Linked DNA regions of Elephas maximus indicus. The protein of the gene in region 1 interacts with the protein of each later gene in a pairwise test. Links are inferred from orthologs where the notes say so. Each region holds a gene or a part of one and is shown on either strand. Other genes may lie near its edges.

Evidence for each region.
Region 2: the proteins of CCHCR1 (region 1) and HSBP1 interact in binary tests that used the Homo sapiens proteins (3 or more experiments, as listed by UniProt). The link is inferred for Elephas maximus indicus from reciprocal best matches to the Homo sapiens genes CCHCR1 and HSBP1.
Region 3: the proteins of CCHCR1 (region 1) and C3H1orf94 interact in binary tests that used the Homo sapiens proteins (3 or more experiments, as listed by UniProt). The link is inferred for Elephas maximus indicus from reciprocal best matches to the Homo sapiens genes CCHCR1 and C1orf94.
Region 4: the proteins of CCHCR1 (region 1) and EFHC2 interact in binary tests that used the Homo sapiens proteins (3 or more experiments, as listed by UniProt). The link is inferred for Elephas maximus indicus from reciprocal best matches to the Homo sapiens genes CCHCR1 and EFHC2.

What each region holds. Positions count from the first base shown.
Region 1 is NC_064819.1:91,462,707-91,470,130, reverse strand, and holds the start of CCHCR1 (coiled-coil alpha-helical rod protein 1), read left to right. Parts: upstream 1-4,404; 5' UTR 4,405-4,544; coding exon 4,545-4,751; intron 4,752-5,046; coding exon 5,047-5,113; intron 5,114-5,190; coding exon 5,191-5,404; intron 5,405-7,174; coding exon 7,175-7,424. Other genes in the region: TCF19 (transcription factor 19), read right to left, coding at 97-331, 875-1,439, 2,483-2,711. UniProt on the Homo sapiens protein: May be a regulator of keratinocyte proliferation or differentiation.
Region 2 is NC_064839.1:49,799,494-49,807,325, reverse strand, and holds the start of HSBP1 (heat shock factor-binding protein 1), read right to left. Parts: upstream 3,099-7,832; 5' UTR 3,062-3,098; coding exon 3,017-3,061; intron 2,485-3,016; coding exon 2,418-2,484; intron 1,640-2,417; coding exon 1,521-1,639; 3' UTR 1,519-1,520; intron 1,006-1,518; 3' UTR 1-1,005. UniProt on the Homo sapiens protein: Negative regulator of the heat shock response. Negatively affects HSF1 DNA-binding activity. May have a role in the suppression of the activation of the stress response during the aging process.
Region 3 is NC_064821.1:75,208,233-75,215,637, forward strand, and holds the start of C3H1orf94 (uncharacterized protein C1orf94 homolog), read left to right. Parts: upstream 1-4,375; 5' UTR 4,376-4,885; coding exon 4,886-5,214; intron 5,215-7,405.
Region 4 is NC_064846.1:128,993,461-129,001,531, reverse strand, and holds the start of EFHC2 (EF-hand domain-containing family member C2), read right to left. Parts: upstream 3,035-8,071; 5' UTR 2,964-3,034; coding exon 2,922-2,963; intron 1-2,921. UniProt on the Homo sapiens protein: Microtubule inner protein (MIP) part of the dynein-decorated doublet microtubules (DMTs) in cilia axoneme, which is required for motile cilia beating.

The DNA.
Region 1 (7,424 bases):
GGAAGAAGGGGGCATCTCTTAGGATCCATGTGCACCTTGCTGTTAATGCCCCTGGCCTGGAGGCCCCAGCTCTGTCCTCTCTGTTGGGCCTTAGGCCTAGATGCCAACACCGCATCCTGGGCATCGGAAGTCTGCCTCCCTGGCTGCCTGGATGCTGCAGCCAACACAGGCCACATGGAACCAGGTGTCACAACCATCACACTGAACCCAGGCCACTGTCTCTTCTTGGGGCAGGCAGCAGCGGGGAGCTGCACAGGGTTCCCCGCCCCCAACTGCAGGGGGGGCCATGGGGGCGCTCACTGGGTGCTTCCGAGGACGCCCACGACGGTTTCTAGGAAGTTGAGGGGAAGACACAAAAACGAGGGTCACTGGAAAACTGTAGGAGAAGCCTCGAAATCTGGGTAACTGCAGGGTGAACCTGGAAACTCCTTGGAGGCTTGTAGTGTGAATCTAGATAAACTCTTGGTAAGACATCTGTAATGTGAGCCTGTAAACGGTCCTCAAAATCTGTAGGGTGGATCTAGAAACAGTCCCTGAAAATGTGTGGGGTGAGCCTGGAAATGTCCCATCCTTAGGCACTAGAAGAGTGGGGTTGAAGATGTCTGAATGTAAAAGTAGGAATTCTGTGCTGATCTATTTTAAAACCACTGCCCCCATCCCACCTAACTCTTGCTGTGTCCTGTATATATATTGTTTCTGTCAGCAGAGCTAGCCCAGGTCTTGCCATTCCAACATCAATTCCACCTCTGCCCACTACCTCCCATCCCCACCCCCAAGCAGAAGGCCTCTTCAGGGCCTGGGGTTCTGAAACAGAATTAGAAAGCAGTGAAATATTGCTGGAAGGCAGACATGATCGGAAGGCCTCTCCACTTACCCGATGGGTGTCGGTGGGGTTTTCTCTCCTCGCAGTTTCTTCCTGGGCTCCATGAGGACTGGCGGGGGGCTCTCAGGCCCTTTCTCATCATCGTCCAGTTCTGCCAACACTCGGTGAGCTGATTTCCTCCGGTTTCTGGGGGCTGGGGTTCGGGCAGAAGGGGTGGTCCCCACTTCCCCAGGGGGAGTGGGAAGGGGTAGGCTCTGGGGCCCACCCCCACCCCGGGAGAAGGTGAGAGGCTGGGGCTGGAGTTTGCTGAGGCTGCCGATGGAGTTGAGGATCAGTGTAGCCTTTGGGGCAAGGGAGAGGGTGCTGAGGGGCCGCTGTGGAGCCCCCTGAGAGGGCAGCATCGGCTGGAAACCACCCCCGGACCCTGCTTCTCCCTGAGACAGTGGGATGGTAATGGCCGCAAAGTCCTGAGGTTTGACTCGAACTTGTTGGAACATGAAGTAGAACTCGGAGGGGCTGGTTCCTGGGGTCCCTTCAGGGCCAAAGGTTAGGAGGTCACCATCACTCAGCTCCAGCCTGTGACCCTTTGGGAGTCGGACATTATTGACTAAGGTCCCTGTTGATGGTGGGGCACCAGACAGATACAGACAGTGACAAAAAAGAAAGGACCAGAGTCAGGAGTGGAGAAATTTAGACCTGTTCGATTTTCTGGGGCCCATCAGGAGGAATATGACATGCTGTTGTCCTTCTTCCCTCCCTCATATTTTAAGCCCCTCAGGTGGTGACACCAGATAGTAAGCAGCTTGTGAGCTGGGAACAAGTTTTTTTTTATTGTGCTCTCCACGCTGATTCCTTTCCTCTCTCTGAGGTCCATGCCTCCATCTCAGTGGAAGCTCTCTCACCCAGCTCCAATTCAAAGTACAGTTATTATCTCAGCATAGCTCTGGAGCCAGGCTGTTTGGGTTCAAATCTTGGCTCCACCACTTACCAACTCTGTGCTCTTGGACAAGTTTCTTAACCTCTTTGTGCCTTATTTTCCCCATCTGTAAAATGGGGATATTAATGCCCCCCTACACTCAATGCACTTAAAACAGTGTCTGGTTCAAACAGGAAGTCTTAAATGAGTGTTAGCTACAATAATTATCTAATCCTTACACCTACCAAAGCAGACCCACTAAGCCTTACTATTTAGTTTTATCTAAGAGGAAACTAAGACCCAGAGAGGTGACGTGACAGGCCTGAGGTTTCACCAGGAGCCAGTGGCAGAACTGGGGCGTGAACCCGGGCCTTCTGAGGCTGAGACTATAACTACCTTTGAGTCAGGGAGAAAAAGATACACTCCCATTATTAAATTGTGATTTAATGCAACTACTTAAGATGGAAACAGGTGCCTCAACAAACCTGGAAACGGTCCAGTCTGAGTCTGGCCCCCAATGGCCACAGACATACCCCCTGATGATGTCCCAGGCACCGGATCTACTTCCCAGCCCCCTACAGACAGCTTCTGACACCACCCCTTTGGGGGGAAAATGATCTGGACCACAGCTCTATCCAACCAGACAAGGATTTTGGAGGCAGGCAGAGCCCCCATGGAGCCCCTTAGTCAAAAGCCTGGATCTGCAACCCTTCAGGGGCAATGCCGCCCTGCTCACTGCTCACCTTGGCTGCTGTGGTCCTCCAGACTGACCCTCCAGTCATCACCCTTGCGCTCAGCGTGGAGCTCGGCATGCACCCCGGAGATGAGGCCGGGCTCCCGCTGGGGCCGCAGAGCCACATCACACAGGTCGGCCCTGCGGCCCAAGCGATAGGTGCAGCCAGCCCCGGTGGGAGGGTGGAAGGTGTAGAGATCGCTGCCTCCTATGCGCAGCAGCTGGAAGCAAGGCAGCATGGGCGGTGCTTCTTTGCACCACGCCTTCCACTTCAGGAATCCATCACTTTATGCCGGTCCTGGGTCGTGTATGGCTGGTCCAAGTTCTCTTCCGAGTGTGATACTCAACCTGGAGCACACTCCCTGAGTAGGGGAATTTCAGGGGACAAGGAGCCTAGGCATGCAAAGCAAAATTGGCAGTCCAGCAGCTTTGCAACTGGAAAATTCGGGGAAGGTCCTTGGTGCAGTGACAAAACAGGAACACGCCCTATGGCACCTCAGTTGAGCCGGATCCTCAGGCCGCAAAATAATCGGAACGTCTCCAATCTGTGCAAAGCAATGATACCTTAGGCAGCTTTTGGGCAAATGCCAACTGGAGGGAGTGGGGGCTTGCTTCTGTGCAATAGAGCGCATCACCTCAGTGTAATTTGAAAAAAGCAGCTTCCTGTCAAACCTGCTTAGCCAAATGGAGTACCCCTTCTGCTCGCCCGCATCCCGCTTTTCTGGTTAATCCTCACTCGGAACTATTTAGTTTGGAACCCTGTGGGAAGCGAATCCACTGTCACCCCCCGAGAAGTCCCCCAAGTTCTTCACCAAAGCAGATCTAAACCCCTGCTTCCCAGTTTCCCTGGGTGGGATGAAAACAGCGGATGGAGCTCCCCGCAATCACGCAAGACTAATTCAGCCCTTTCCCTCCGGGTCCCAGCCCGGTTTCGGATCTACCCACGCAGTGACATCTCGGAGTGGTCTCCTTTCCAGACAGTGTCGGTCTGTGCGGAGGCCCCAGGACCCCTCGGGCTCCTTGGCCCGGACCCGCGCTCCCGCAGATGTTTGACAGCGAGGGTGCCCAAGCCAGGAGGGGCCGGGCCTCTGTGCGCGGGCTGACGCGACCCCTCCTTCGGAATTCCCGGGTCTCCAGTTCGCGCAGAGGGGGCCCGCCCCCTGATGCCTTTGATTGGGCAGCTCTCTTGTCCTCGCTTCATCCCATTGGGCAGCGCACTGGTATCCCTGCACTCCCGCCTTTCACCTTTTCTGATTGGTTCACAAGTTTTCCCGGGTTCCCGGAGTTGGGAGGAGCCACCAGGGCGCGGAGATACTCAAACACTGTAATTGGACCCAGTTTTAGACGCTACTGCGCCTGCGTACACTTCGCCCCTCCTTCCGGGGTGAAATCTGGCTTTGGAGCGGCCCACAAACCGGCCCGCTCTGCGCAGGCGCACTCAGGGGCGGAGTCCAAGGCCCCGGAGCTGGGCGTAGGGGGTGTGGCCTAAGGCAGAGGGGGTGTTCTCGCGCTGGGTAAGGGGCGTTCGAGAAGAGTCGGTTGGGGGCGGGAAGGGGCTGAAAGGGGTGCGGGGGTGGGCTTAGGGGGTCCATAGGAAACAAGAGGTACAGGGGCTAGATGAGGTGGTCAGAACAGCCTTAGCGCCCTGAGGGTGAAGGCTCAGGGGAAGCGGGTGTCTGGGGAGAGCGGGGTTGAGAACCGAGCATCGGCTGGAGTGCAGGGGGCGAAAGTACACTGATGAGTTGGGAGGTGAGAGTGAAGAGCCAGGATAATTCCTTCAGGGTAAAAACAGATTAGGAGGTAGGGAGGGACAGGAGTAGGTCCCCGATTAAGTCAAAAATAGATAAATTGGGGTGGGATGGTGGGAAAAAGATCTTGAAGAGCTAACTGTATGCTCCAGGACTTTGGAGAGGGGAGAGTGGGCAACAGGAATGAAAGCTGAGGGCATAGTAGAAAGAAATTGAGAGGAAGGTTGCAGGGAGGATTTGGATGAGATGGCAGAAAGACGGCCTTCTGCCTAGGGATCTTGCTGGCTGTATTCCCAGGGATCCCGGGGAGGCGTTTTGCCCCACATGTGGCCACGTTCACCTGGGGCCAGGCCTTGGGCAGGGGCTTTTACAGGGAAGGACCCAGGAGTCATGGCTTGGTGGTGCCTGGATGGGCTTCCCCAAGGCCTTGCTGAGCCATGGAGAGAACTCTGGAGATTGGGCTCGCAGCCCTTGGAATCCATAACTTCGATGCGCAGGACCAGCAGGGACTATAGAAGCTTAAGGAAGAGGGTAAAAGCACTGTCGAGAACCCTAAAATTATGAGTAGAACCTAAGTGCATCCCTCCTCAGGCTGTCTCTCAGTAAATTTCCTCCATCTCTGGGGTTATTGCCAGAGTTCTGTCAGGATCTTGGTTGGGACAACCAAGTGAATTTGCAGCTCCTCCTTTCAGGAAATAGGAGTAGGTGAGAGTGGGGTGGACCTGGCTGCTATTTAGGAAGGATGACTTTGTTAGTGTAGGGGCTTTCTTTTTGGAAGTAGGACTGAAAATTGAATTGGAGTGTCCTTTTTTCTCCAATTGTCCAGGGGAACATGGATGGCTGGAGACAGAATCTAGAGCTTTCAAATAATGTGGAGACGTTGCGACCTTCAGGTCAGTGGGACTAGGCAGGGGACTGGTGATTGCCTCTCCCTGGGAAACTGACCATCTGTGCCCTTGTGATTCCTCAGGTTCCACTGGGCTAATTCCCCCATCCCACTTCCAAGCTCGGTCCCTTCCAACTCTGCCAAGAATGGCTCCCACCTGGGTTGCAGACATTCCCTTGGTCCAATCCCCAGCCCATCAAGATGTCTCAGAGAGGCGGCTAGACAACTTGAGACCTCAAGTGCCAATGTGGGAACGGGATGCTTCTGGTGATGGGCAAGAGCCAGGGCGGAGAGTCAGGTAGGGATCCATCATTGTCGTTTTCTCAGGCTTGCTTGCCTTTGACCGTCCATCAAAACAGATTCCTTACCCTGTTTCAGCTCTAGGTTCCATAATTTGTTCATGTTTGTATAAACAACTATTGGGTGCCTACAACACATAAATAATAAGGCTAGGGATGAGGATAACAAAAATGAATGAGAGATCCTGATATTAAGGAATGGAAAATCCTGGGGAAGGAGACAGATTGGTCAACAGGTGATCCTAATAAGCATGAAGATGTGCAGACCAGGAGTATAGACTTGGTACTGTGGTGGTGAAGGAGCCCTGGTGGTGCAGCGGTTGAGCACTTGGCTGCTAAGTGAATGGCAGTTCCGACCCACCCGGTGGCTCTGAGGGAGAAAGACTGGCGATCTGCTTCTGTAAAGATTTACAGCCTAGGAAACCGTATAGGGTAGTTCTGCTCTGTCACATTGGGTCGCTATTAGTCAGAATCGACTGACAACACCTAACAACTGTGGTGGTATGGAGTCATTCTGATGGTGTAGCTGAAGAAAGCATTTACAGAGGACATGGCTTTAGAGCTGCCATGCTATTTGTTGATGTGCTGTCTGTAAAACTTTTTGACCTTTCATGTGTGTTTTCCCCAAATAGACTGGAATGTCATTCTGCCATTTTGCTCTAGAGTGGGCTTACACACATGAGTCTACCTTGGACCCCACCAAAGAGGAAGGACCATAATGAAGAAGAGGGACCCCTGGACTGGGGACGGAGACCCTCTAATGCTAGCTTGGCTGCCAAGTGGCAGACCTTTGCCCAGTTAATTTTCTTCTGAAAAATCTTTTGGTTTTGGGCTTCAATGAGGAAGCTATCGCAAGAGCCTTGTTATGAGTTAGTTTAAACTTTACACGACACCAGTAGACTATATACTCCCCAAAGGTAGGGTCTATGTAATTTATTGATGTACTGTCCCCTTTGACTCCTCATGTAATATACTGAGCACTCACTAGGTGCGTTTAACTAACCCCTGGCCTTACTGTACTGGTACTAGAAGCTCATGAGTGCTATACCTTTGCTCCTCCTTCGAACTTTTCCTTGCCCTTACATCAGAATTCAGAAGTCTCTGAGTGTTCTTCCAACCTCTCCACTCAGAATGTGTTTCCTAATGGCATACCCTATTCACACTGTTTCCCACACCTCTTGCTTTCCTCTTCTACTGCGACCCTTGTGTGCATTTGATGTTTAATATATATATATGGCTCTCTCTAGGTGTATGTCTCATGACCTCAACTAGCCCTTAGGTCCTGTGAGCCCAGACCAAACCCACTGCCATCGAGTCAATTCCAACTCATAGTGACCCTATAGGCCAGAGCAGAACTGCCCCATAGGGTTTCCAAGACTGTAATCCTTATGGAGACAGACTGCCACATCTTTCCCCCATGGAGTGGCTGGTGGGTTTGACCTGCCAACCTTTAGGTTGGCAGCCGAGTGCTTAACCACTGCACCACCAGGGCTTCTTATAAGCCCAGACAGTGGACCTGATATGTGCAGGGCCTCAATGAATGGTGATGGTGATGTAAATATAGAGATCCCTGTGTAGTATTCCTCATGCCTCTCTGCAGAGGCCCCGTGGCCCATCTTCATGCCCCTGCCTACCCCAATGGGAGCAGAGGAATCTTTTGCCTCTTCCTGTCTCCTATGACCCTGGGTGGGAGCAGAGAGGCCCGAGTATCTGTGTCCAACCTCCCAGTACCAGAAACACATCTCACCTATGTGAACCTGTCTTTGAAGGTCCCTGGAGGGGTCTCAGGCCCTGACCCAGCAGGCTGAGTTGATCTCTCGGCAGCTGCAAGAATTGCGGCAGTTTGAGGAGGAGATCCGGCTCCTGCGGGAGACCTCACTGCAACAGAAGATAAGGCTAGAATCCCAGGCCATGGAGCTGGAGGCTCTGGCGCGGGCAGAGAAGGCAGGCCGAGCTGAAGCCGAGGGCCTGCGGGCTGCCCTGGCTGGGGCTGAGGTCATCCGGAAGAACCTGGAAGAG
Region 2 (7,832 bases), on another chromosome or scaffold:
TCTATAATCAGTAGTAACATTGCTACCCTGCAAGAATTTAGCTAAGAAATAGTTTAAGTAGAACAGGATCTTGTAAAAACTTGAGCCTTACGACAAAGTCATTCATCACTTTCTAGCCAAGCAACTGGACTTAATATGGTCTCTTGCCCTTTTCTGTAGGTAATCTGTATTTCTTTTTTCCAATTAATAGTTCAAAGAAAGGATGGAATAATTCAGGTTTTCAAATCCTGCCAGGTATTTCATGATAACTATTATAGGTGAATATAGGGTTCTACTGAAGTATAAGAATCTCATGCAAAACTGTAACAAATGACATCTCATTATGTTAGGCTATTCCGTTACTTTCCATATTTAAACATACTAAAGTGGCAATAGTGACTTTTCATGGACTTCAGCATCTGATCTCAGGCACTTATAATAGAAATAGAGCTGTGGTTCGATTCTGAGTTTTGGCCACACAGGAGTGCCAGGTATTTCGGAATAAACGAATTCTACATGTTTCTGGCTGTTTGGAAAGTATTGCCAGCACGCTGTTTGGTGTCAGTTCAACAGCCACTTTGTGCTGAGAATTAAGAACCTCAAACTCAACTAATGTTTTACTTCACAAAGTTCAGTTTAACTGAAGGATTTACCATTTGTCTAAGAAAAAAGCCACAGAGCAATTTTTATCAAATAGCAACTACTACAAAAGGAATGACAGAAAATGACTTCATGAAAACACTCTAAAATTTTGACAATTTTATGTAGGAACTGCCAGAGTTTTAGTGTTTAATAACAGCACAACAGACCAAGGTCCGAGATGTGAAGTTTACCATATTCAAGAAAAAAAATTCAAGAAACTACAGGAAAAATCACTCCGAAAACTAACTATATGATTTACGGTAAGAACACACACTTTATAATATAAAACCTGTCTACACGTAGTAGTTAGGTGCAAAAAGCCATTCGGTCTTCTCTTGGCTTGTAAAAATTGTGTTCCAGACCTCACTGTAAACTATTAGCAACCTGTTGAAAAAGGGAACACCATCAAGATGTTTTTCATTATATGAGGACAAATAAAAATGATACACAGAATTATCAACTAAAAATCCTTTCAGAATTCTCTAGTGAATAAAACATGTTTTCTTTGTACAATATTCTAGCAAAAACACAACTGGTTTAATTAGAACTTTGTAAAAAATTGTGACTATTTCCTATTCCCACTGCTTTGTATCTTCCCTGTCTCTCCAAAGTCTTCAATCCTGCAGTTCTTAAGGATGTTCTCAATTTGCTTTATGGGATATCTGAATGCCAAATCACAGAAAAGACCTAGAGAAGTTTATAAAACTAGCAGGGCATTTTCCAAATTACCCATGTCAAAACATGAAGTCCACAGGGGGAGAGAATAAAAGGGATGCTCGCTGGGGCCATGGCTGGGAATTCATCTAGAGAAGTTTATCTACATCAAAATAATACTTAAGAGGTACCTCTCTGTACTCTCCTTTTTTCCTTCTTAAAAATAATTAGCTCCTTCCTCACCTTCAACTCTTTTGTGTGGCAGGAATCTTGTTTTCACCTTCCAGTTCTTCCACCCCAGCCTGGGTCATGAGGTCTGCAATATTTTTCTCTAGATCATCAATGCGACTACTCATGTCATCAAGTGATCAAGTTAAAGACAATGAACAGCATTTCCACTTCCCCATTTCTTATCCCCTTTTTCCAAGGTCCTGTACTATGGCCTTAAACACAATTGTGTTAATGAAACTGGTTTTCCAGTTTCCTCTGGATATTCTGAAGAGTACAGGAACCTGGGGCAAGGATGCCCAGGATCAAATCCTAACCCTGCCCCTTGCCAGTGATGGGAGCCTGGGCGAGCTTTTTCACTTTACTAAACTTCAGTTTCTTCATCTGCTAAACAAAGATGGTGACAGCATCACCTATTCATAAGGATCTAAGGAGTAGACACAAGAAGTGTTTGGCTCACAGTCAGAAGTCAATCACATTAGCCATTATTATGGGAAGATTGTAAGTTCCCTGTGGCCAGGGCTCTGTCTAGTTCAACTCTGTGTTCCTAGCCCTTAGCACAGCACTTCTGGGGAACAGAGGACATCCAGGTAATCTGGTAAATGGCAGGCTGAAACTGGTCTGCAAACCACCCATTTTATCTACCGAAACAACAACAAAAAACCAGTTGTCCAGTGGATTCCAACTCAGCGACCCTATGGAGCAAAGTAGAACTGCCCCATCGGGTTTCCAAGGCTGTAATCCTTATGGAAGCGGACTGCCACAGCTTTCCCCGTGGAGAAGATGGTGGGTTTGAAGCCCAGTTAGCAACCAGAGTTTAATCACTGCGCCACCGGGGCTTCTTAGGCATCTACCGACTACCTGGCAAGTAGGATCCAAGGCCCATTAGAGGCTGACACGAAGTAAAAGGATATTTCTTCCAATGATCTGGTCGGACATGGTCTGAAATTTATCTTGCATCTGTTGCAACAGTGTCTGGACCTAAGAGAAGAAAACATCCTTATCCTGAGGCACCTTCATGGGATCAAGACAGAAACCTGGTCTAGGAGTGAGACCTGGACCCCGGGCTCCAGCCCCAACTCGGCCTCTTGGCGGCTCTGCGACCTTTAGTCAAAAACTTCCTTCTCCGACTTCAGTTTTTTCTCATCTGTTAAATCAGACTGAAGGCCGGCGGAGCCCCTTTCAGGGTGGGCCCGCTGTGGTTCAAAAACGGCAGGGTTTTTTGGTTGTTTTTGGCGACTTGAAGGCATCACGCACACATCTCGGGGGTGCGCCAGAGCTGAGGGGTGAGCATGGGACGTTGGCGGGAGCATGGGGGTCATCAGGGGCCTTCAGGGGCAGGAGGAGACACACCCAGGAGGGGTCTGGGGCAGGGAGAGGTCTACACCGAGGGCCCCGGCGGGTCGCGGAGGCGGCGAAGCCTCCAGAAACGTCTCGCGCCGCCGCCGCCGCGGGCCCCGGGAGGCGCCCGCGGAAGATGGCGCGTCCTCGGGCCCGCGCAGCCGCCCCTTACCACCGAGGTGAGATCCTGCATGTTCTTGGGGTCGGTCTCGGCCATCTCCCCGCTTCCCAGCTTGGCGGTGATATCTCCGACCGTCACCTACACTTCCGTTTGTCCGCGCAGACGCCCCCAGCGGCTTCTTCTCGCGACGAGAGAGAGAGAGAGAGACCGCGAGACCGCGGGGTATTGTGGGAGCTGTAGTTCAAGTCAACGCCACGGAAAAGCCCCGAGCTCTCGCCTTTGTAGATACCCCGGTGGCTTAGTGGTTAAGAGCTACCGCTGCTAATCAGGAGGCCGGCAGTCTGAATCCACCTGGCGCTCCTTGGAAACTATACGGGATGGTTCTACTCCCTCCTATAGGGTCGCTATGAGTCGGAATCCACTCTACGTCAACGGGTTTGGTTGTTTTTTCTTCCGTTTCTGGAGCCCTGGTGGCGCAGTGGTGAAGAGCTCAGCTGCTAACCAAAAGGTCAGCAGTTCGAATCCACCAGCCGCTCCTTGGAAACCCTTTGGGGCACTTCTACCCTGTCCTGTAGGGTCGCTATGAGTCTAATCTGGAAAGCAAAGGGTTTGGTTTTGGGTTTCTTGCCCTTATGGTACTAAGCGAGGCCCCGCCCTTCTCCGCTCACCTCCCCCCCTCCACGGTCGTCCTCGCCCCACCCCTCCTCGCCCTAACCTGTCTCACCCCGCCTCTTCGGCTTCGCCCTCCGCCTTTGGCCTTACCCCCCTGCATTGCCCCATTTCCCACCCCGCCCCTGCCTTGCCCGTCCGGGCCCTGCACTGCCCTGCCCCTGTTGCTCTGCCGCCACCTCTCCCCGCCCGTCTTTAACTTTCCCGTCCCCGGCGCCCGCCCCTCTGATCTCCTTTTGGGCCTCTCCCCTATAGGGTCGCTATGAGTAGGAATCGACTCCACGGCACTGGGTTTGGTTTTTTTTGTTTTTCCCAGGCAGAAAAAAGTGGAACAAAACCGGATCCTGGCAAATAGGGAATGCCCTGACCGTCTTCCCGCAGTAGTTGGGACGGCTTTGGCTTCCTGGGGTCGATTGGACGAACATCCCGGGCCCTGCGACTATCAGCCCAGCTGTGCGCGTCCCCGCGCTGTCACCGCTCTGGCATACCTGAGTCCAGCAGAGGGGCTGGCCTACTGTCCCTTTCACAGGTGCACCTGTGCACACCAGGTAGACCTATGTACCTGGAGGGGCCCTCAGGGCAGAGAGGCAACCAACGGTCCGCCATGCCAGTGGCTGCCAAGCTCTGGCAATGCCGGCCCAGGTGGGTCTCCGCTGCCCCGGGGCCAGGTGGCTGGTGCGATTCTAACTTTCAGGTACTGTCTAACATGCCTACTGCAAAGTGCAGAAATCCTACGTGCCTCCGGCTTAAAAACATGGCCAGCCCACTAGGCCCTCTCCTACCCGGCAGAAGTCACCAAGCCCTGACTTTTCACATCGCACACTGGTCTTGCCTTTGAATTTCATGTAAGTGAAATCAGACAGTGGGCCTCTTTCAGTGTCTGGCTTCTCTTGCAATGTGATGTTCCTTGGTGTTGTTGGGGAAGGCTTCTTTGGTAAAGGAGGGGACAGTGTCAGGGGGCTAAGAGACTGTGGGTTTTGGTGTTTCTTGAGATTAGAAGCTCAATCTTGGGGTTCCCTATTACCAGCTTTCCTGCCCCCTCCTGCCTTCTAGTCCTTGCCCCTAGGCTGGTGTGCCCCTTTAGTCTCATTTTGTTTTATGGGCCTGTCCAATCTTCTGCTGAAGGGTGAACCTCAGGATTGACTTCATTACTGATCCGAAAGGGTGTCTGGGGGCTCCACTCTTGTGGGTTCTCCAGTCTCTGTCAGGCCAGTAAGTCTGGTCTTTTTTTGTGAGTTAAAATTTTGTTCTACCTTTTTCTCCAGCTCTGTCCTAGACCCACTATTGTGATCCCTGTCAGAGCAGTCAGTGGTGGTAGCTGGGCACCATCTAGTTGTACTGGACTCAGTCTGCTCACCTGGATACTTTTGTCTCAGTGTTTTTGCTTAATCCTCAGAACACCCCTGTAATATAATTATTATCATTTTACAATTCTAAGAACACAGTCCCAGAGGGGCTAAGAAACGTAAACAAGGTCATCCAATTAGGAAGCAGTAGATGCAGCACTTGAACACAGGACTTTCTGACTCTACATCTTCTGCTTTTTCTATCATTCCAGAATTCCGTGAGTTTTCTGAGCTTCGAGCAGGGTTTCTCAACAGTGGCACTGTTGACACTTGGGCTGGAAAATTCTCTGTCATGGGGGCTGTCCTGGGTGTTCTAGGATGTTTAGCTGCATCGCTGGCCTCTATCTGCTACATTCCAGTAGCACCTCTAGCGTGAGAACCAAAAATTCCTCCAGACATTGGCAGCATCCCCCAGGGGCAAAACTCCCTCCGATTGAGAACCCCTGGCTTAAAAGGGTCTGTAGACGCTGCCTCGAATTCTGTGTACTTGTTCTTCGAACATGAATTTGTTCTTGCTCCGGCCGTTTCTTGAGAATGTTCTTCCATCTATGCTGAGATTGAAGGCTGGTGAAGTAACATCACCTTCTTCCATCTGTGTTGTGCTTGTTACTTTATAAAGAGTTTTCAGAAACCTCCAGTCATTTAGCTACCAAGTAGCCAAGGGGAGGTAGGACCTCCCCCTTCTTACTTTAGACCCCATCATTCAGGGCTACCACCCTCAGCGTGGAAGTCTGGGTACCTGCACCCTGGACACCGAAGTTGTGAGCCACCCTGGTTTATGGCCTTTGAGGAACAGAAGGACGTAAATTTGCATCAGGACCTGGAGTATTTTTTCCCCCTCTGGCAGGAGACTTGAGGTTTTTTATCCTGTTTGAAATTTTCTTTACATAAACAGCAAATAAACTTGGCATTCTTTTAGTGGAGGTTTTTGTTTTGTTCCTTTGTTTTTCACTTCAATAGAAAGACTGTATAGTCTGTGTGGCAGAGACCACAGGTCTGTTAAACAGCTGCTTGGTGTGAAAGCTTCACTAATTTATAGTCATGGCTGATATACTTTGTGGGGCTGACACGCTGAACCTAAACTGAATATTGTCCCATTAAGAAAACTAGTGTATTATGTGTAAGGCACTAGTAATTAACCTTTTAGACTTCACTTTTCAACAACCCTCATTTTTAACCTTTATTTAAAGTGTCGTAGTTGTCTTAGCTCCTCTTAGCACTTTTTTTTTTTTTTTTTTTTACTCTTTAGCTCTTTCTAGATTAATTGCATGTTGTAATTCTCTTTTCGCCTTTCAAGAGGGTTTGGTTTTACATGGGCTTAATATGGTGCTTTAATAATAGCTCCTTGTTTTGAGCTGGAATGCTCTCTTTTTCCAGATATATGCTGAGGGGGTGTTCCTGTACAGGTGTAGTTGCTCAGCAATGAGATTTTTGCTTGTCTGTTTGCTTTGCGTAAGCAGATGAGGAATGGCGGCGGCGGTGGTGGCTCGGTGGTAGAATTCTCACCTTCCACGTGGGCGACCTGGGTTCGATTCTTGGTCAGTGCACCTCATGTGCAGCCACCACCTGTCTGTCAGTGGGAGCTTGTGTGTCGCCAGGATGCTGAGCAGGTGTCAGTGGAGCTTCCTGACGACAACAGACTAGGAACAAAGGCCTGGTGATCTTCTGAAAATCAGCCAGTGAAGACCCTATGGAGCTGTGTGGTCTGATCCACAGCCGATCATGGGGTTGGCTCAGGACTTGGCAGCATTTCGTTCTCCTGTGCGGGGGGTCACCATGAGACGGAGCCAACTCAATGGCAGCTAACAACAAGCAGAGAAGACACGATTAGAGAAGGGATTTAGAGAAACCTTGTAATCTGTTCTTTCCGTCGCTGCACCTGTATGGGCTCAGAGTCGCTGTGGTTGCTGCTTCTGCTGCCGAGAATCCCACACCTGAGTGAGCTGGTGTCACAGCAGCTCAGGATGTGGGGCCTTATCCTTCCAAGTGGCCTGGCAGGCCCCCTGCTCTCGCCCTCCAGTGGTCATTTCAGCCTTTGCAGTCTCTTCAAACCCTAAAAAACCAAAAACCAAACCCACTGCCGTCGAGTCGATTGCAACTCATAGCGACCCTATATGACAGAGTAGAACTGCCCCATAGAGTTCCCAAGGAGCGCCTGGCGCATTTGAACTGCCGACCTCTTGGCTAGCAGCCATAGCACTTAACCGCTATGCCACCAGGGTTTCCTCTTCAAACCCAGGATAACCTTATTTTCTATATTGTGGAGTAAATAGAGCCGATCAGTCAAGGCCCCTTAATTCTCACCCTCCACACCTACATGTTGTTGAAAGAATAATTGGTCGTGGAAGGTTGATGAGGAGGGGTTGGGGATTACGGAGCTTAGATGGGTGGAGGGGCAGCCCCTCCATTGTGATTTCAGGCTAGAGGATCATGGAGGGAGACTGGTGCACTTGGCAGCTGGCAGGTGTTGGAAGTTGCATTTCAACATGTTATACTTACTCTGTTTTCATGCAGATAGTACATACCTTCTGCATTGGTTTGCCAGCCTCCATCCCTCTCCCCACCCAGGTATTTTTGTAAGCACCACTATGCCAACATTTCTTTACAGCAACATGTTAAAAAAAAAATTGGCATAGCGGTGCTTAGGAAAATATCCCACGGGCGGAGGGAGCCACTGACAAACCAATGTAGAAGGTGCGTGTTATTTGTGTAGAAATACACAAATACTGCTCATGAGCCCTCTTGAGGACATTGCCACTTCCCTGACTTGCTCTCGCACCATCCCCTCCCCAACTTTGCCCCAGCCACACTGCCCTTCTTGTTGGGCCCCTGACACACGGAGCAGGCTCAAG
Region 3 (7,405 bases), on another chromosome or scaffold:
GTCTTGCAGTGAAGACGGAGTCTTTACCTACATACGTCCTGATCCTGAGTTGTAGCCTGTTGATCCTGATCCCGAGTGGCACCCTGTTCCTTAATAAACCACTCAACTGTAAGTACAATCTGTGAGTTTTTTGTGGTCATTTTGTGTGGTCATTGCAATGGGTTATCAAACCCAGATGAGCAGTAGAGAGTGCCATGGGAGGGATGGCTGGTGTCAGAATTGGTTAAAAGGTTGGAGATAGGAGGTATGTCTGACTTCTACCTCACAGGGATCAGCTTTTTGCTGATGGTGATTCACATTGTCTCCCCTGAATTTAGATAGGTGATGGTGTTACTATTACTACTACTAGCCCGTTTTTACAATCAGGCACTTATGGAATGTTTTTCCTTCCTAATTAGACTGTGACTTTGTCTAGAGTAGAGGTCTTACTCATCTCTAACTCCTGTACCTTGCACAGTCTTGACCCACACACAGTAGGTGTTCACAGTGAACTGAAAGGTGCCATCTGCTGAAAAAGATATGCCCACATCCTAATCCCTAAAATCTGTGAATGTGGCCTTATTTAGGAGGAAAAAAAAAAAAAAAGGTCTTTGTAGATGTGATTAAGTTAAGGATCTTGAGACAAGATCATCCAGAATCATCTTCATGGGGTCTAAATCAAGTGTCCTTACAAAAGAAAAGCAGAGGGAGATTTGGGACACAGAAGGGATGAAGGCAGAGATTGGGCTTACGCAGCCACAACCCAGGAATGCCTGGAGCCACCAGAAGCTGGAACAGGCAAGAAAGGATTCTTCTATAGAGCTTCTGAAGGGAACATGGCCCTGCCAACACCTCGATTTTGGACTTCTGGCCTCCAAAACTGTGAGAAAATAAATTCCTCTTGTTTTATGCCACCAAGTCTGTGGTAGTTTGTTAACAGAAGCTGCAGAAAATGAATACTCAAAAGGAACAGATCCTTGGGAGGCTCAGGTGATGCTTTGATTCCATTCCTCCAACACAGAGCAATTTCCCCAGTACGCCTAAAAGTACAAGTGAAGTTCTCCCTCCTCACACATAACATGAAGGCCTGTGATTTGGAGATACGCATTTCAATGTAATCAGCAAGCAAACTACAACACTTTTATGGGCTAGGTGTTGTTCCTGGGACTTTCCATGTGTTTAGTAATTACTTGATAATAGAACATCTACACAGGTACAACAATTCTATGAGGTGGGTGTTCTTTATTATCATCCCTATTTTACAGATGAGAAAATGAAGGCACATAAAGGTTAGGTAACTTGTCTAAGTTGACATTGCCAGAAAATTTGAACTCAGAATTTGAACTCAGGCAGTCCGGCTTAAGAATCTGTTTTTGCAATAGTGGAAATATCTTCTGCACTGTTCACTATGGTATAGTCTCTAGCCACACATGGCTATTGAGTACTTGAAATGTGGCCTGTGCCACTGAGGAAGTGAATTTTTAACTCTATTTAAATATATTTAATTAAATTTAAAACAGATATGTGGCTAGTGGCTATCATATTGGAAAATGCAGCGTATACTTTCTCTAAGTACATTACTTGAGGTCTTTGCAGAATCTTCTAGAAACCTCAGCTGTATATTCCAAGAAGCAAACCTTCATTCACAGTCCCTACTGTATTTTTTTTTTTTTCCTAATCCTTTCTGATTTAGACCCTGTTGCCCAGTCTCCTGCTGAAGAGGAGAGAGAACAGGAGGAGTGAGTAAGCTGGCTAACTTTCCAGAATCTGTGGTCTGGGCAGCGCAGGATTGTTGGCGTTCTGCTCTAAGCATAGGGTGTTAGCCAACCAAATGCCAAGCAGCACAAACACTGAGTGACATTTTCAGAACTATTAATATTTCATCAGAAATGATCACTTTTCCTTTAAATACACTATCTTAAAAGGTTTTCTACATTCTTAACTATAATTTTATTCAGTCTAGGTCCTCAGAATTTTCCCCAAAGGAACACATCTTCAACTTTATAATGAAAATCAAAGGGGAATGAAACTCGGATTTCAAAATTTAGAGTCAACATTTCTAGGAACTCAGCTCCTCTGTAAAGAGCACGGTCGTGTATTGGGCACCTACTGTATGCCAGGCACGTTACATACAGTATACCATTAATTCATTCAACACATATTTATTGAGTACCTACTGTGTGCCAGAAATTTTATTCCCATGATAATGAACACCATTTTAACAGAAAAAGGACTCTCATGCTTCTGTTTTCTCAGAGAAGCCTGCCTGGACCATCATCTAATGTTGCCCTTTTCCCTCTTTCTCTCCCTCTCCCCTTCCCCTCCTCATGCCTCACTTGTTGGTTTCCATCACCAAACCAAAAACCAAACCCAGTGCCGTCGAGTCGATTCCGACTCATAGCGACCCCACAGGACAGAGTAGAACTGCCCCATAGAGCTTCCAAGGAGCACCTGGCGGATTTGAACTGCCGACCCTTTGGTTAGCAGCTGTAGCACTTAACCACTAAAAAAAAAAAAAAAAAAAAAAAAAATTTTTTTTTTAACCACTACGTGCCCCTTATTTCATCTCTTAAACATAAATAAATAAATAAACCAAACCAGTTGCCTTCAAGTAGATTCCAACTTTCGGTGACCACATGTGTTTCAAAGTGGAACAACACTGCATTTCAGAAGTATCAGGCCTTTAGAAGCACCTCCGGATGCATTCGAATTGTCTTAGGGTTAGTTGTTGTTGTTGTTGTTAGCTGCTATAGTCAGCCCCGAATTCATGGGGACCCCATGTGTTAGAAAGTAGAATTCCTTCATGGAGTTTTCTTGGCTATAATCTTTATGAAAGCAGATCTCCAAGCCTGTCTTCCATGGAGCCACTGAGCGGGTTGGAACCTCCAACTCTTAGGTGAGCGGTTAAGTGCAAACTGCCTGTGCCACCCAGTAGCCAAGCTTTGAACCCTTTGTGCCATGCAGGGATCTGTACCCCATTGCCATCAAGTCGCATTCAAGTCAGAGCGACACTATAGGACAGAGTAGAACTGCCCCATAGGGTTTCCAAGGTTGTAATCTTTACAAAAGCAGACTGCCACATCTCTCTCCTAGAGTAGCTCATGGGTTCAAACCACAGACCTTTCCCCTTAGCAGCCCAACACTTAACCACTGAATCACCAGGAATCTATAATTAATGTTTATTTACTTGCTTGGCTAGTCTGTGGTCTATCTCCCTCCATTAGATTATAGGCTGCATAAGAGCAGGGACCATGCTTTTTGTTTATTCTCATGTTTCCTCAATTCCCAGCAAGGCATGGAGGAAGCGTTCAGCCAATATTTGGGAAATGGATGAATGAATGAGGATGAGAGAAGTCAAGAAAGCTGTTCAGGGACACAGGGCTTGGAAGTGACAGTTCAGGATTCAACCCAGCCCTACCTCCTTAGGCTGCCAGCTGGCCTATTTGCATCCATTCTCCTTTCTTCACCTCTTGCTCCTCCTTCTCTGGGGAAACTCTGGAGGAACAACCACTGAGTCCTGAGGCTAGAGAGCCCCTGTCCGAGTTTGCTGATTCAGTTCTGAGTTCAATGAAGCACAGGAAAGAGCTGTCTATCTCAGTGGCTCAGGCCTAGAGTGCCCAAGTTTGAATCCCAGCTCCCCATTTCTTAGCTGGTCATAGACATATCCCTTTGTGATTGAGCCTCCGTTTCTGTATATGCAGACCGATAATAAACGATAGTAACTGCGGGAGCTTGTAAGGATCAAGTATGAGAACGCAGAAAGCTCAGAGCTTGGCACACGGCAAGCGCCTGACTGAAACGGCAGTTAGCGGTAAAATCTGGCTGACAAAGGGGCAGGCCCCCTGGCTGGCGCGACGTTTGTGTTTGGTAGCTGACCGAGGCCGCAGCCTGTCTCCTCTGGTGAACTTCTAATGGGGGAAAGCTTCCCCACCGGGGCGCCGCCTCACCCGCCCCCAGCCCGCGGCGGCAGAGGGCCTTGGGCACCGAACCTGGGGCGCCCCGCGCACCCAGCCGTTGCATTTGAAACCCACAAAAAGAATTCCACCGCTCGATGGCAAGGTCGTGAGAGCCACTGGCACGCAAACAGGCCAAAGCCGCCTCGCCCCGCCTTCCCGACGGAAACAGCACCCTTTTAAGGCGTAGGGACCCTTCCTGGTGCCCATCCCCGCGTCCCGGTTCGGAGGACGTGGCAGGTGTCTGCTGGAGGTGCTGGGGGCGGGCTGCGGAAGGCCGCAGAGCGCGCCCCAGACTTACCCGCTGAAGTTTTCTTTCTAGAGGGCGGCAGAACAACCCCTGGAGAAGGGTACAGGCGGGGGCTAGTGGGGCGAGCAAGAGGGGACACAGCGGGGGGAGGGAAGGCAGGGGCCGTTGGCCCTCAGGCTGCGCGGGGGTCCCTGGGAAGGCGGAGCTGAGACTCTAATGGTGGCCTCCTGCCCCCACCGTGCCTAACACGGTGCCAGGCTCTTAACAGGTCATCCGCTGGCTTAGTGGGAGAGAATGGGCTGAGCCCCAGCAGCCGCAAGGTGCCAGGGGTGTGTCGCAAGGGGGGAGTGTCAGGGACTGTGGGGGAGAGCCAGCCTTCCCCCTCCAGCTGTTCCCAGATGTCATTCTGCCCGCCCAGGCGCCTGCTTCCTGAGCTGCCGGGGATTCCACGGTTACTAAGCTACTGGTTTTTGTTGACTTTTAAGTATTTTCTTCTAAGAGAGAGGGGGAGGGGGGCAAAAGTCAGGAAAGAGCAAATAAAAACAAATCACACAAAGCTCCCCCTCCCCAAAAGAAAGCTCTTCACTCACCACCACTCACACCCAAATCGAGGGCCTCTGAACATAGTCACCTTGCTGGAGCAACAACCAGACAGAACTGACCTGCCTCTGCCAGGCCCCATCCTCATCTCCCTTCCTGGTGAATGAGGGGTAGTGGTGGATGGTCCCCCAGTCTTCGAGCTCTGGGTGGACAAAGGGGCTTCCAGAGAGAGAGGAGGAGCATGGCCAGTGGGAATGGACTCCCTTCGTCCTCGGCCCTGGTGGCCAAGCCTCCCTCCGCCCTGGGCCCATTCCCCAGATACATCTGGATCCACCATGACACACCCCAAGACAGCCTAGACAAGACCTGCCATGAAATCTGGAAGAGGGTTCAGGGCCTGCCTGAGGCCATGCAGCCCAGGACCTGGACGGAGCAGCTCTCTGCCCCCACGCCTGGGACTTCGAGAAACAATGGACTTGGCTTCCAAGAACAGTAAGTGTCTCCCTGCTTGGATGGTACCAAGGGAAGAGGGAGGAGATGAGACCTGACCTGCTGGGGGAATGTTCTGGCCCATTGTTAAGTCAGGTTACATCCTAAAGCTATATACTTCTCCTCCCCAACCATGGTCTTCGTCCATGCTTTAGAGAGAAAAGCTGATCATGGCTGTGGATGAAGGATCAGGCCAGGGCTGTATTCCAGGCTGCCTCTTCACCAGTCCACTAAGAGAATATGTTTTCATTCTAAAGGCAGACCTAAACCAGATTTGTGTCTGAGGTCCTTGAAAAGCCATCCTAGCCAAGGCCGAGGGTTAGGTGGCTATCTCTTTTGAAGCCCATGGCTTTCCCCAGAGTCAACCAGAAGATCCTTCCTTCTTCCCATCCCTCAAAGGCTGGGCATTCACACAGATGAGTCTGGTAATTTTAAATCACATCTGGAATTCCCTAATACAGGGAGCAGCTGTCCCATTCAGCCTCCACAGAAGCCGCTGCAAAAACTCACATCAAAATATTTACTGGGAAGGCATTGACATATTCAGAGGACATAATAGAAAATTAAAGTGTGGAAAGATGGCTGTAAATAGCCCATTTCCTAGATAGGGAATCCTATGACTGGGAAATATGGAGCTCAGAGTTTCTCTAACAGAGCAAAGTTGGGCAGATATTGTTGGGGATGGAAAATCAAAAGGAGAGGGAGGAGCAGAGAGGAAGAAGGGACCTCATTAGAAAAAGAACATAAATCCAGTGTGGTTATTTATGCCACCGTTGAGCACTTCTTCAATGTTTTGCATCTTCAAAGTGGACTGCAAACGTTAACTAATCCTCCCAGAGTCTCTATGAGGCAGATATTAGTGTCCCCATTTTACAGATGGATTATGTGTTAATAATTAAGTGCTAATAAAGACTAAGTGATAATTAAGTGCTACCGATCCCAACACATGCTCCGGCTCGGTTCAGAGATGCTGTGGAGTTGGGGAGCCATTCAGGCAATTATCACTGCCTCTGGATTCAGGGATTTCCAAGCAAGAGCTAGAAGAAAGGCAAAGTGTAACTGCTACACAGATCTGCCCTGCCTGCTGCATTTACCTACTTGTGGCAGATGAGGGTGAAGGACACTGTGGCTATTACTGTCTCCCCAGCCATGTGCTCAACACGACATGGCTCTGATGGGATTGGTCCTCCAGTGATACTGAGCCCCTTGCCCCTGCCATAACCATCTGCTCAGGGACAGGGCCTTGGCAGAGGGGCTTATGGGGCTCTGCTCAGCTCCTGATGGCCGAGAGTCAGTAGCAATTTCCAGTAGATGGCACCCTTTCTGCCAGGTCACATGGAGTTAATGGAGACAGACTCTAGTTCCAGTCTGTAGTTGGCCGACAATGGAACTGGTGCACTTTTGGCCAGTTGCTTAACTTCATTTGGCTTTGATTTTCTCATCTGCAAATTGACGATGATGTGCCTTGCCTTGTCCACCTCAGAGGTGATAATGAGTATCAAATGTGATGGGCTACAGGAAAACAAAAGATGCATTATACAAATGAAGGCTGTTTTTACTATGTGACTCTTACGATTTGGGTTGTTACTGTTGTTGGCTTCAATCTGGGGTTTTCAAAGTATGTTCCATAGACCCTACAGTGCTTCAGGGCCACCTTGGAGCCAAGTGCCTGATTTCTGGGTCCCAGACCTCACTTCGACAGAGCTGTTCTGCTTTTATCTGTTTTCCTTACTGGTGTTCTGAGTAAGGCTGCCTTGGAAAAAGGGGTTCTGCTGCTGAGGAATGAGTTAGGAAACCACTGGCTTAGATGAATGAATGATATCATAATCGTAAAGATCTCAGCCAAGTAGAACAAAAAGAGCTATTACTGAAATAAAGGCAGGGTGAAGGTGGAGTCAGATAACTCTGGTTTCAGATAACATTGCAGCCCAGGGGTGACTGCAGGATTCCTGACTTCTTAAGTTCACGAAATCTTGGTTTCCTCATCTGCCAAATCAAGATGATGATTATGCATTTCATAGGGTTTTTTTGGGTTGATTAAGTGGGATATTTAAAAATATGAGTTGGAGTTGACTCAACGGCAGTGGGTTTGATTTTTTGGTGGTAATAATTAGGTTTTGTGAATTCCTAATATAATGATGATAATTGCTTTACATCCACAATTATTGTGAGGTAGGTACTATTATTAAACTCT
Region 4 (8,071 bases), on another chromosome or scaffold:
ACTCATGCATATATGGACACTTGATGTATGACAAAGGTGGCTCTGCAGAGGAGTGGAAAAAGGGTACCCTTCTCCAAAAGTGACTCTAAGTCAACTGAATATCCATATGGGAAAAGAATACAACTTGATCCCTACCCCTCTTTTACACACAAATAATTTATTCTAGGTAGACTGTAGATCTAAATGTGAAAGGTAAAAACAACACAATTTCCAAAAGATAACATGGGGAAATATCTTCACGACCTGGTGTAAAGAATGGTTTCTTAAATAGGAAACAGGAAGCATAAACCTAAAGGAAAAAAATTATTCACCAAAAACACCATTAAGAGAGTGAAAAGGCCAACCACTGACTAGAAGATATTTCCAACGCATATATCTGGCAAAGAAGTTATACCCAAAATAAGTATAGAACCCTTACAAGTCACTAAAAAAAAAGACAACCCAATAGAAAATTAGACAAGTGACAGACACTTTCCAAAAGAGAATATCCAAATAACCAATAAATGCATAAAATGTGCTCACCTTCATTAGGAATCTGTGAAATGCAGATTAAATCTACCAAGAGTTACACTACACTCACCTATTGAAATAACTAAAATTTAATAGACTAGTAAAATCAAGTGTTAGAATGTAGAGCATAGGAACATAAAATGCTGGTGGGAATTTAAATTGATATAACCATTTTGACAGTGTCTACTAAAGCTAAATATATAAATACCATGTGATCTAAGAAGTACCAAAAGGGGTGAACAAGTATAGTCATAGCAAAACTATTCTTAATAGCCCCAAACAAGCCAAATATCTATCAAGAGTAAAATGTACATATAAACAATGTCATAGTCATACAATGGAATACTATAGAGCAATGAAAATGGATAAGTACCTCTACAGAGAGCCACATGAACAAATCTCACAAACATAATGTTGAGTTGAAAAAGCTACTCACAAAAGAATAAACATTAGACATTCCATTTATAATACATTCAAAAGCAGGGAAACCTAACTATAGTGATGGAAACCAGGAGAGTGGTTACCTTTGGAGAGTCAGAAAGGAATAGTGAACAGGAATGGTCATAGGTAGGGTTGCCAGATAAAATACAAAACTCAGTTAAATTTGAATTTCAGATAAACAACAGATGATCTGTTAGTATAAGTATATCCCATGCAATATTTGGGACATGTATTTTTATTTACTAAATCTGGCAACCCTAGTCATGAGGAACACTAGGAATTCTGGGAAGGTTCCATTTCTTGACATTCATTTTGTAATCATCCATTGTGCATTTTTCTATACATTGTGCTTCACAGTAAAAGGGTAAAAAAAAAAAAAGAGCAAAAGTACACCAGTACAGCCTTGCAGATTTTAAAATATCTCCTCCAACCACTGGTTTTCCTTCCCACCCTTAATCATTGCATGTGAGAGCTGTGATACTTCTGCAAGTGGTGGGCATCAGTAATCTGAACCATTGTGGGCCAAAAGGTGTGGGCTTCACTTTCAATTTTTATTAAAATTACTTTTACACAGCATGCTTTTTTACTTCTGGAATCTTTTTTCATTTTTCATGCCCTGCCTCTCTAGGCCCATTCTTATTTGGATGGCTGGCTTAATCTTACCAAAGGGCCGCGCTGTGCTGGAAGGCCAGCCTCTACCCACCAGGCAAGAAATGCGCAAACCAATATTTTTGACTGAACAGACGCATGGGGGGGTCAGAATCCTGTGGACTGAGGCTACAAAGCTGACCAGTACTTTAGAGTCATCGACTTGGATACAGACATGTTCAGAATTCATAAAGTCAAATGCTTAAGCTTAGAAAGTTTATGAACTGCTGTTGTTAGTTGTCTCTGAGTTGATTCCAACTCATGGAGACCCCACATGTATACAGAGAACTGCTCCATAGGGTTTTCTAGGCAATGACTTTCCAGGAGCAGATAGCAAGGGCTGTCTTTCAAGGTGCTTTTCAGTGAGTTCCAACCGCCAACCTTTCTGCTAGTAGTCCAGCACTTAACTATTTGCAACATCCAACTGTTTGCTCCATCTAGTTCCTTCCCATTGGTTTATTATTTACCTTTTCCTGCAGACACAACTGGCAAACCCAAGTAAAGAACAGTGACCAGTGCAAACAAAAGCCTGAATGGCTTTTCTGCTCTTGTTTAAGTAAGGTGCTATTTATTCACCTGAATGTTCTTAAGGTGAATAAATAGCACCTTACTTAAACACCTTTCTTAAAGTTCTTCAATGCTCAGAGTATTTTGTGTTGTTGTTGTTTTGTTTTGTACCTTCAAAAAATTCCTCCATGTTTCAGTGCCAATCAGCCCCCATCCCCCTTGAGAGTGCCAGGCTTCTTTGCTTTACTAATGGAAAACTATATTTATCCCTTTCACACCCTATATTGAGGATAAATAATTAGGCTCCTGGGCTGTGAGGACAGGTTGCCTGGAAGATATTCAGCTCCACCACTGAGATTGTGTAGCTCTGGGTCGGTGAGTGACTCTGTGCCTCAGATTTCCCAAATGCAAAATGGAAGTAAAAATAGTACCTAATTCAAAGGGCTGTTGGGAGCATCAAATGCCCTATAAGGCGATTAAAACACAGTTCCTGACACACCTTAAACGCTCAACATTTACTAAGTATTACTGTCATTATCATCATTTACTTTCACGGGTACTGTCGTTTCGTTTATCACCTATAAGGACACTACCTGTGTACCTAATGTAGGAAAAGCACCCAGATGCAGTTGTGGAGAGAGGGGAGGGAGAGATGACAAAAGGCAGAGAAATAAGGATTCCACCAGCCTATGAAGTTTGGTCCAAGATGAGCCCAACCGGCAGGAGGATAACTAGCGATTGGCGGCCACCAGCGGGGTCAATGACTACCCACACTCCTGCCAGGACCTCTGACCTCGGGCGTCCTCACTACTCACGTTGCGGTTGAAGTTATTGCCAGGCAGCAGGGGCAAGGCCATGGCTCTCCGCGTCCGAGGACCCAGGGTCTGAAAGTAGAGGGGCCTGCTTGCAGCGGCTGCCTCGAGGCCGCGTCATTCGACCTCTCGTTACCTGGAGACGGGAGGCGGTGTAACGGAAGGGGGAGGGGCCGAGCCGGGGCTCGGGGCGGGGCTCGGGCGGCAGGGAGGGGCGGAGTTCGGGCGGGGCTCGGGTCGGTCCTCCGGCTGGAGCTAGAGTAGAGGGAGGGGAAGGGGCAGGGTCGGGAGGGCCTCTTCTCCTCGCCCGCTGCTTCCAGCGCCCATCCACACTCAGCCGCGTACAAGTCATCCGAGTCTTCTCTCTACACGCGTTGTGCACGCACAAAGACTTGACAACCACACCATTCTCCGCCCCCCGCTGCTTTATGGTTTAACCCCTTTGTAGAGCTCACATCCTTTCATGTACTTAAACTCCTCCAATACTGGTCCCAACATTTTTGGCCATTTGATTATTGAATGTGGTTATTAAATAGTTCAAACATACAGAAAAGTTCAGGAAACAATACATCCATGTGCTCACTGAGATTTAACACAAGTTAATGTTTTCCTATGCTGCATTTACATCAGCGTTATTTTTTAAATTCAAGTATTCTAGGCTAATCTAATGCCACACATATCCCATCCATCCCCCACACAAAAACCCGTTCCAGTGGTAACCACCATCCCCAGTCCTTCCCCTGTACATTTTTATACTTGAACTAAACGTGTGTAAGGTGCTCATAATCATGGAGTGGCCAGGAGAGGAGTCAGGTGGCACAAAACTCAGCACCTGTCACTCCATCATCTATCCAAGATGCCCAGGCCAGGAACCTCCTCCATTCTTCTCCCCACACCTACAGCTAATCCCTCCCTGCCTTCTACTGTTTAGACACTCTGGCATCGGTTAGTCACCACCTCATCTATCTCAGTTGAGACCCCATTATTTCTTCCCTGGTTTTCCTCTTTAAAAAAAAATTTAAAAAAAAAAAAAAAACCTGACTGATATTTCATCCTTTCGTAACTCGTGATACACCTGTTACTCTTCCGCTTAAACAGCTTTCTAGCCTTCTATCCTTCTTTCAGGAGGCAGGAGGCAGTTGGACTCCTCACCCTATTCTAAACAGCCTTTGCCAGGGTCACCTGCCAACACCCTCTGTCCCTTTCTTTGCCATGCCTGTTCTACTTCAGCTGTGAAAAGCCACTGGCAGCTCCCAGACCAAGCCCTGAGGTTTCTTTCTCCTTTCTGGGGTTTTGCAAATGTCACTATCTACTAGAAACAACCTTTTCTCCTTTCACCTGGGTAAGCCCTCTTGTTTTTCAGGACTTGGTTCAGTGTGGGAGAGAGGCATGGAAACCTTTGCCATTTCTGGGAAATGTTTCTTCACCTTCTTCCTGCCCAACCCCACCCCATCTGTATTAGGTGTCCATTTTAATTGTGGCTTTCATCTTTCTATATTGTAATGACATATTACTTGACTCTCTTTAAATATCCCAAAATTCCTCCAGGGCAGGGTCTGTATCTCCTTTTCTGTTTTGTGTTATTTTGTTTTTTGGTTGAGTTGGGTTGGGTTTGTTTGTTTTAAATTAACATAAAGGTACAGATAGTAATTTAACAAACATACAGATATCCACCACACAGATTAAACATTTGCTAGCATTTTGCCATATTTGCTTCAAATCCTTTTGTTTTTAAAGAAATAAAATGTTATCGATTCTGCTGAAGCTCTGTTTATACTACTACTCAATCCCATTCCCTACTTTTGCACTAGAGGTAACCATCTTAATGATGTTGGTTTGTATACTTCCTTGCAACCATGTTATTATACTGATACCAAAACCCACTGCTGTCGAGTCACTTCCGACTCATAGCGACTCTATAGGACAGAGTAGAACTGCCCCATAGAGTTTCCAAGGAGCGCCTGGTGGATTCGAACTGCCAACCTTTTGGTTAGCAGCTGTAGCACTTAACCACTATGCCACCAGGGTTTCCATACTGGTATGCATTTATTCACAAAAAGTATACATTGTTTTCTGTGTTTACAGCCTTTACACTATAAATTTCTGCTACTTGCTTTTTTCAACTAAGATTTTTTTCAGATTTCTACATGTTGACGCATGTAGATATACTTCATTCATTCTGAATGCATGGTATGACTATACCACAAATTATCTATTCTCTGTTGATGACAATTAGGTGTTTCCAATTTTTCACTATTATCGACTATGATGCAATGAACACCCCTGTATATGTCCTCTTGGCACAGAAGGTAGAGACTATCTAGGGTATGTTTAAGAGCTCAGGCTGCTAACCAAAATGGTCGGCAGTTTGAATCCATCAGCAGCTCCTTAGAAACCTTATGGGGCTGTTCTACTCTGTCCTACAAGGTCGCTATGAGTCAGAATCAACTCTATGGCAATGGGTTTGGTTTTGTTCAGTTTATACCCAAAAGTGCAATTGCTGGGTTGTAGGGGTGAGGCAGTTCTACTCTGTCCTATAGGGTCGCTATGAGTCGGAATCGACTCGACAGCACTCGGTTTGGGTTTTAGGGGTACACACCTTCGACTTTACTAGATCTTGTTAAATCATTTCTAGAATCACTGAACCACTTAAGAAAATTTTTTTAAAAAATCCTCTTTTCTCTTTATCCTTTCCAACAATGGGTGTTATCAAATTTTATAATTTTGGACCATCAACTGAATAAATGTGAAATGGTATACCCTTGTTATCTTAATTTATCTTTACCTAATTACAAGTACAGTTGGTCATCTTTTCACATGCTTATTACTTTCTGTTAATTACCTATTCATACCCTTTTTTACTGGATTTTTCTATTGAATCATGCATGATTTTCTCACTGATTTGTAGTTCTGTGTGTGTGTCTATATATATATATATATATATATATATATATATATATTCATTCTAGACACTAATCCTAGCCATAGCAAATATCTTCTCATCACTTGTGCTTTGCCTGTTACTTCCATTTATGGAGTTCTTTATTGCACAAAAATTTGTCATTTTCTCTACTCAAATGTATCACCCTTTCCCATTATGGTTTGTGATTTGTACACTTTGCCAAAAAGATGAAGTTACTCTCCTACTTTTATTACAAACATTTTTAAATATTTTTACTTTTTAAATTGAAATAATTTTAAACTTATTTTTAAAAGTTGCTAGATAGTACAAATAACTCCTTCACACAGATTCCTTCAATTTTTTTTAATATTTTACCATATTTGTTCTATTATTCTCTCTCTATATACACATGATTTCCCCTTTGACAGTAAATTGCAGACACCATGTCCCTAAATACTTCACTGAATATTTACAGAAAATATTCTAGTACAGAGCTGAAATAGAATTATCAAAATCAGAAAATGATCATTAAGTATGGTTCTTCCTTAAAAAACTAGAACTAGAAATACTATGAGGGAGGAGGAGCCAAGACAGTGAAATAGACAGACGCTTCCAGCAAGCCCTCCTTACAACAAAGACCCTAAAAAACAAGTGAAACGAGTATATTTATGACAAGCTAGGAGCCCTGAATATCAAAGGCAAGCTTAGCAAAAGAACAGAGGGGCAGGGGGAGGAAGAAATGGTTCAGAAGCGGAGAGGAGTTACTGGACCTGAATCATGCGGAGCCCTCAGGCACCATTCCCGGAGCAGCGGTGGCAGACTGGTACTAGCATTCAACCGCAGTTTCCTCAGGGAGAAGCAGCCAGCAACACACCCTACTCACACCTCCGGAAGCTGAGAAGAACGGCGCTCCCGGCAAAAGCTAAGTACTTGCATATATTTTACCGTGCATCCCCAACCCCAAGCCACCTTCAATGGCTGAATTCCCTGGGCCTGAGACAGGCCCTGCTCAGTGCCTAGGGCCATCCTCCTGGCCCTGGAGAAGAAAAAAATTTGCAATTGGGGGAAACGATAATTTGTCAGCTCCACTAACCAGGGGAGCTCAGGACAGAAGCGGCTACTGTCCAGGCATAAACAGTCCATGGACTTTGAGCACCTTTCCCCTCTGCATGGACCTGTGTGGGCCTATTTCAGGAGACAACACCCATATTTGCAGAATCCAACCTTTTTAGCTTTGAGGTGGAGAAGTGGGTGTTTGATACTTGACATTGCTTTGCCTATTAAACAGTGTCCTCACCTACCCACATAGGGGCCTAAGGACTGGTAGCTGCACTCAGATCACCCAGCCACACACGAAAGGGGGTGCAAGAATAAATGGTACCTCCCAGTTCCTACAAACAAAAACATTGGGTACCCATGGTCCATCTGCAGAACTCACCCACCTGCATGCTCTAGGGAACAGGGATGTGCTTTCCTCAGAGACACTCAGGGGTCGGTTTTCTACCCCCTGCCTTGTTCAGAGGGTGACCCCCATTGCAATCAGATGCCAGTACATACACCAATCACCCCTGCCCCCCTAAGACTGTAGGACACAGCCTGTACCACACACTTGATGATCAGCTACCTGGACACCTGAGATGAATTCATACAAGAAAACTGAATGAACTCACAGACTGATATACCTGATAACAGCTCTAGCCATCTGGGGACAAGATGTCAGAGCTCCAAAGGTGAAAATAATCAAGCTAGCTCACTCAAGCAAACCATTTGAGCATGTCAAAACAAAAAAAAAGCAAAGCAAAAAGCTATGACACAGTGAGCAAGCATAAACTAATACAATACCTTGTAGAAGGCTTGGAGAAAGCAGTCAATATCAAGTCACACAAAGAAACAGACCATGATCACCTCAACAGGCTCTCAAAACAAAGAATACAGAGATATTCTAGATGAACGTGCACTTCTGGAATTACCAGAGGCGGAATACAAAATATTAATAAACAGAACCCTTCAAGACATCAGGAAGGAAAAGAGGCAATACGCAGAACAAGCCAAGGAACACACAGATAAGGCAATTGAAGAAATTAGGAAGATTATTCAGGAACATAATGAAAAATTTAATAAGCTGTAAAAATCCATAGACAGAGAACAATCAGAAATTCAGAAGATTAACAATAAAATTACAGAATTAGACAACTCAATAGAAAGTCAGAGGAGCAGAATTGAGCAAGTAGAAGCCAGAATTTTGGAACTT